2 linked regions of the Macaca fascicularis genome follow. The protein of the gene in region 2 interacts with the protein of the main gene of each other region in a biochemical or structural test. Links are inferred from orthologs where the notes say so. Each region holds a gene or a part of one and is shown on either strand. Other genes may lie near its edges.

Region 1 (3,654 bases), on a different chromosome or scaffold from region 2:
CTGAATCACCTGAAGAACCTTTTTTTGTATGCGTGTGAGAGACAGGGTCTCGCCCTGTTGCCCAGACTAGAGTGAATGGTGCAATCACAGCTCACTGCAGCCTCAACCTCCTGGGCTCAAGTGATCCTCCCACCTCAGCCTCCAGAGTAGCTGGGACCACAAGTATGTTCTACCACTCCTGGTTAAATTTTTGTATTTTTTGTAGAGACAGAGTTTCGCCATGTTGCCCAGGCTGGTCTCAAACTCCTGCGCTCAAGCAATCCACTCGTCTCGACCTCCCAAAGTGCTGGGATTACAGGCTTGAGCCACAATGCCCAGCCTTTGAAGAACCTTTTATTCGCTAGCATTTGTCCAGCCCCAGACCAGTGGGCTAGGGCCTAAATTTGTGCTGTCTTTCCTACCCCGCAACTCCATCCCTGTCGGGATGGAAAGATAGTGCTTTTAGGCCTGCCTTACCCAAATGTGTGCAAAAAGTCTCACCGAGCCCTCATTTGATTCCAGGTTTTGCCACCTCTCCCCTTGGAGATTCTGGCTCAGGTGGTCTGGATTGGAAAACACTGCCTTAGGCTGTCTGGGTACCTCTAGGTTCTTTAACACAAATATGAACATGTTCCTTTGTGGCAAAGGAAGGTGATATCACTGGGTATTTGGAAGGTTTTTGCATTATCTTTAGGTTGCCTTAACCTCATCACACAAAAATCACACTTTGTCTCTTGCTGAGTTTTCTTACTGGAAAACATATTTGGAGGAGTATTCTTTGAAGTATATTTGGTTTGGTGATATATTGGTGCTTTTTCTGCTTCAGATTTTAAACTTTAAAGCAGCAAATTGTCTGAGTGGTATATGTCTGCTCAAAGCCAAGGTCTTCCTCCTGGTGTTACTTCATCAAGCTAAAGAGCAGCCACTAAATGGAGAAACATCTAAGATAGCAGGGATACTGTTGGAATAGCAGAGCACTCTTATTAGTGAAGCTTCTTTAGAAGGAGTATATGGCCGGGCGCGGTGGCTCAAGCCTGTAATCCCAGCACTTTGGGAGGCCGAGGCGGGTGGATCACGTGGTCAGGAGATCGAGACTATCCTGGCTAACATGGTGAAACCCCGTCTCTACTAAAAATACAAAAAACTAGCCGGGTGTGGTGGCAGGCGCCTGTAGTCTCAGCTACTTGGGAGGCTGAGGCGGGAGAATGGCGTGAACCCGGGAGGCGGAGCTTGCAGTGAGCCAAGATCACGCCACTGCACCCCAGCCTGGGAGACACAGCGAGACTCCGTCTCAAAAAAAAAAAAAAAAAAAAAAAAGGAGTATATTTGCTGGCATCCTTCTAGAATGGGAAAAATAATACTAGGCTTTACCATTTGACCTGATTGTACCAAAACATGTAAGCAGCTTTTCCACATCTGCCCCACATCTGTACCTTGTATTTTTACCCAGAGAGAAAGCACAAAACTTCAAAAGTGTAATGCTGGGAAGGCTACTGGCATTGCCCTTTGCTGTGAGAGCAGTTTCTTGTCCTTCAGGTCAGGCAGATTCTTTCAAATGCTTCAAGTAATTCATGTCAGTTTCAGGACCTTCCTATTTGACTTATGCTTGTGGTTTTTCTCCAATTTCAGAGTCGGGAAGACATCACTCATGAACCAGTATGTGAATAAGAAATTCAGCAATCAGTACAAAGCCACAATAGGAGCTGACTTTCTGACCAAGGAGGTGATGGTGGATGACAGACTAGTCACAATGCAGGTAAGCATATGTCTTGGCTGTGCTAACCAGGCCTTGATAGTTCCTTTAGTCTTAATCTTTCCTCATGCATAGACATTTTTCTTCCCTGTTCTTCAAATCTTATTATCCTGTTTGTAGATAATTGGCTGATACTCAGTTAAATTTGAATTTCAGATCAATAGTGAATACTTTTTTGGTATACTTCTTGTATATCTCAGATACAACTTGCTAAGACACACTAAAATTTCTTCTTTTTTTAAAAAAAACTCAGATTTATCCTTTCTTGTTTTTTGTTGTTTTTGGTCTTGTTTGCTAAATTTGGCAACCTGCAGGTCTCTATCTTGTGTTTCTCTTGACGTTCTTGCCCAGTGCTTTAGGTAAACATATTTGTCTCACCTCAGTAGTGAGACATGAAGTTTCTTTATTTTTTTGACTTTCTATTTCATATGTAACTTCAAGAGTTGTGTGTCTATTGAGCCAATCTGTTTTTTTTTTATGTATCAGCTTATTAATCTTTCAAGGGTTTCCCTTTCAACAGTTAGGATAAGATGTAGATTCTTTCATGTGACTTGTTGAAAAGCCTTCACATTCTGGCTATAAACTGTTACTCCCTTTTTTTTTCCCCTTTGAGTCATTTTGTTTGTATACATGTATTATATCCCTAGAAAAGAACCCCTGAAGGGTGGATACCTTGAGCCCAGGAGTTCGAGCCTGCAGTAAACTGTGACTGCTCCATTATACTCCAGCCTGGGTGATGGAGTGAGACCCTGTCACTAAATTAAAAAAATAAAAGAATCCCATGATTTTCCCTCCTGTATTTTCATCTCTTTATTCATGGTCCGTGATGCCAGCTGAGGTTGTCAGTACAACCTGACTTTGAAACCAAACTATTGGGATAGGAGTAGATTATTCTGTCACTTTTCTAGATCTTTGAGTTGCACATCAAATCTGGGGCCATTCATTCCAGTTTTAACCTGCCTGTGAGGTTCACAGTAATTTTCCCAGCTCTGTGATCACCGATGATTTCAATTTTTCAATGTGATCATGTTTCGTTTCACACTTAGAACCAGATGATGACTTGGGAGCACAGCCTAATAAGTACCTGGTGTTTGCCTTTGAGAGCATCAACCAAGACATTCATGCACACCATTATGGAGGCAAGGAAAGATGGTAGAAATAGCTGCTACTCACTTTTTTTTGTCTCCTTCCAGTCCTTCTGAATCATGTGCTGCTCTTACAGACTTGTGTTGGTGGATATGTCTCTGCTTCCAGCAGGGCCTGTATACCCACCGGAAGTCTCCAACTTTTCGCTCAGATCTTTTGAAACTTCTATCTCTGTGGCAGATGTTCTTTCCTACATGCTTCTAGAGGCAAATTCCAATCCCATTGTAGTCCTAGCAAGTACCTGGCAGATAGTGGGGGCTCGCTGAAATGTGTGAATGATGTAGGTTAAAGGTAGAAGTTTGTACATGTGTTGACCTCGAGCTGTGGCATGCTCCTAGAGGATCAGGACTCTTAATTGACTGACACTTCTAGGACAGAGCTAGTATGAATCTCTCATCCTCACCTTACCTATACACATACACCTAGAGATCTTCAAAATGTAACTGCAGTTTAAGCAAGTCAAGCTTGAGAGTAGAACTGGAAAACCTTGGCCCAAGGAATTGGCAAAACTTGTGTCTGCAGTTGTTGGAGAATCTCAGTCCCACTATCCACATGTACAGAAATCTTTGTCTCAAAGAATTTAACATAAATCTCTGTCAATCCTGGCAAAAACAAGGGTAAGACTACTCTGTAGGGACATTTACTACTGTAGGAGAGAAGATGAATTCATAACCACATGAGGAAATAATGTACCACAAGAGATGTTCACAATGACTAGAGATGTTCTAAAAAGAAATAGAAACCATAATGGAAAGGGATACTATAAAAAAATGAGG
Region 2 (3,512 bases):
TTAAATTAGGTCTGTAGACAATTAGCCTAATACTCTAGTTATTTGACAGACAGAACATCCAAATATCAATGAGCCTATCCACACATTTCCTTCCATTCTTTCACTTCTTCATTATTGACCTTTCCCAATATGTAAATAATTTACAAACAAATATCACTACTGATACTAAAAAACACTACTGACTTGTTCTTAACAATGTCTAAACACCTTTGTATTAGCATTTTCAATGCTTCTCAACATAGAAAGCAAAACAAAACAAAACAAACCTGTATTCTAAATACAGGCTTCTATCTAGATCATGATACTTTAGTTTTTCTATATGTTTTTATCATTATGTTATGATGCTCTTGTCCATAAAGAAAATATAATTCAAATAACCAAAGAAAATATGTGAGCTGGTTCTGAAAATGTGGCTTTCAAACAAAGATCCATAGTGGTAAGCAAAATTGTCCTAAGACCACGGAATTATTAACAATGCATAGGATCACTTTCATATCCACAGTTACATTCCTGAGAATCAATTGATTTATAATTTTCATCTGCTAGTCACACAAGTTTGGTATTCAAAATGAGCAAGTCAATGTGCTTTGTAAGTGTTGTGTGTTCTTGTAACGTCCTCTATAAGGAAAATCCCCTTTTGGATTTCTATTACCTATTTTGCCTTATAATTGCTGTTGCTTTCTAACATTTTTCAAACAGTCCTTCTATCAAGTAGACTCTGAGACCAGTAGAAATTTCCAAAGTTGGGTATCCAGTTCGGTGTATATCCATTATTCAGAGGACTCCTCTAGGTTTCCAAGGTTTGTGCTTTCCTTGAAAGTCTCTGAGTTAGCCTCTGGTATGGCACTGGATTCTGAAGCCTCTGGCTGTAAACCGTCTCCATCAAGGACAATGTCTTCAGGATTTGGTGGAGGGGGACAGAAATCTTCACTGGGGCAGATTTCCTGGAAAAGTGTTTCAGCCTGGCCAAGGAAGAAAAGATAAATCATTTTTGGAAATCGGTTTAAAATCTGTGTGCATTTCTGGCATTAACTAAAAACAATTAAGTGTTATCCTTAAAATTTTCCTTAAGCAGGTTATAGTACTTTATCAGAATACATGAACTTCTATAAGTCTGTTTTCAGAATTCTGTGACTTCTCCCTTTAATTCTATACATGTATTCAGGTCAACACTTCAAGGACGGTAGTATCTCATCAGGTTCATTATCAAGTGTTCAGATTGTTGAGAACTGAAACACATTCATTCTACATATCGAAAGAAATACAATTGCCTTAATATTGCTTATATGATATCTCATAGAGACTTGATATGGTTTGGTTCTGAGTCCCCCCCCCAAATCTCATCTCAAATTATTATCCCCACATGTTAGGGGGCGATTAGATTATGGGGGTGACTGTTCCCATGTTGTTCTTGTGATAGTGAATTCTCACAAGATCTGATGGTTTAAAAGTATTTAGCAGTTCCCCCTTTTCTCTTTCTCCTGCCAGCAAGTAAGATGTGCCTTGCTTCCCCTTCACCCTCTGACATGATTATAACTCTCCTGAGGCCTTCCCAGCCATGTGATCTTGTGAGTTAATTAAACCTTTTTTGTTTACAAATTACCTAGTCTCAGGTAGTATCTTTACGGCAGTGTAAGAGACACTAACACAGAATTGGTACCAGGAGTGGGGTACTGCTAAAAGATAACCTGAAAATGTGGAAGTGACTTTGGAATTGTGTAACAGGCAGAAGTTAGAATCGTTTGGAGGGCTCAGAAGAAGAAAGGTAAATGTGGGAAAATTTGGAACTTTCTAGAGACTTGTTGAATGGTTTTGGCCAAAATGCTGATAGTGATATGGACAATGATGTCCAGGCTGAGGTGGCCTCAGATGGAGATGAGGAACTTACTGGGAACTGGAGCAAAGGTGACTCTTGCTATGCTTTAGCGAAGAGACTAGTGGCATTTTGTCCCCACCCTAGAGATCTGTGAAACTTTGAAGTTAAGAAAGATGATTTAGGATATGTGGCAGAAGAAATTTCTAAGCAGCAAAGCATTCAAGAGGTGACCGGGCTGCTTCTGAAAGCACTCAGTCATGTGTGTTCACAAAGAGATGGTCTGATATTGGAACTTACGTTTAAAAGGGAAGCAGAGCATGAAGGTTTGGAAAATTTGCAGCCTGACCACGTGGGAGAAAATAAAAACCCATTTTCTGGGGAGGAATTCATGCTGGCTACAGCAATTTGCATAAGCAATGATGAGCTAAATGTCAATAGACAAGACAATGGGGAAAATGTCTCCAGGGCATGTCAGAGATCTTCCCTAGGAGGGAAAAACGGTTTTGTGGGCTGGGTGGGCCCCACTGCTCTGTGCAGCCCTGGAACATGATAGCCTACATCCCAGCTGCTCCAGCTCCAGCCATGGCTAAAAGGAATAAAGGTACAGCTTGAGCTGTTGCTTCAGAGGGTGCAAGCCCCAAGTGTTGCCAGCTTCCATGTGATGTTGGGCCTGAGGGTGCACAAAAGACAAGAGCTGAAGTTTGGGAGCCTCTGCAGAGATTTCAGAGGATGTTAGGAAACGCCTAGATGGCCAGGCAGAAGTCTGCTGCAGGGGTAGAGCCCTCATGGAGAACTTCTGCTAGGGCAGTGCTGAAGGGAAATGTGGGCTTGGAGCCCCCACAAAGAGTCACCACTAGGGAACTGTTTAGTGGAGCTGTAAGAAGATGGCCACTGTCCTCTAGACCCCAGAATGGTAGATCCACTGACAGCTTGCCCCATGCACCTGGAAAAGTCACAGGCACTTAATGCCAGCCTGTGAAAGCAGGCACAGTGCCTATGCCCTGCAGAGCCACAGGGTTGGAACTGCCCAAGGCTGTGGGCATCTAGCCCTTGTATCAGCATGGCCTGGATGTGAGACTTGGAGTCAAAGGAGATTTTGGAGCTTTAAGATTTAATGACTGCCTGGCCGGGTTTTGGACTTGCATGGGGCCTATGGCCCCCTTGTTTTGTCCAATTTCTCCCATTTGGAATGGGGACATTTACCCAATGCCTATACTCCATTGTATCTTGGAAGTAACTAACTTGCTTTTGATTTTACAGGTTCATAGGGGGAAGGGACTTGACTTGTCTCAGATGAGACTTTGGACATAGACTTTTGAGTTAATGCTGGAATGAGTTTTAAGACTTTGGAGGGCTGTTGGGAAGGGATGATTGGTTTTGAAATGTGAAAAGGACATGAGACTTGGGGAGGGTCAGGGGCAGAATGATATGGTTTGGCTCTGTGTCCCCACCCGAATCTCATTTGCAATTGTAATCCACAAGTATTACGGAGGGACTGGTGGGAGGTGAATGGATTATGGGGGCAGTTTTCCCCATGCTGTTCTCGTGATAGTGACTTCTCACAAGATCTGATGGTTTAAAAGTGTTTGGCAGTTCCCTCTTCGCTTTCTCTCTCCTGCCACCATGTAAGACATGCCTTGCTTCCCCTTTGCCTTCCACCATGATTTTACATTTCCTTAGGCCTCCCCAGCTATGA

Evidence for each region. The genes of interacting proteins can lie anywhere in the genome.
Region 1: the proteins of CHM (region 2) and RAB7A are reported together in a solved structure, tested with the Homo sapiens proteins (2 studies listed by BioGRID, with this or other methods). The link is inferred for Macaca fascicularis from reciprocal best matches to the Homo sapiens genes CHM and RAB7A.

Annotation. Positions count from the first base shown.
Region 1 is NC_088376.1:154,624,599-154,628,252, reverse strand, and holds part of RAB7A (ras-related protein Rab-7a), read left to right. Parts: intron 1-1,608; coding exon 1,609-1,735; intron 1,736-3,654.
Region 2 is NC_088395.1:92,472,163-92,475,674, forward strand, and holds part of CHM (rab proteins geranylgeranyltransferase component A 1), read right to left. Parts: intron 963-3,512; coding exon 788-962; coding exon of another isoform or gene 771-787; 3' UTR 1-770. UniProt on the Homo sapiens protein: Substrate-binding subunit of the Rab geranylgeranyltransferase (GGTase) complex.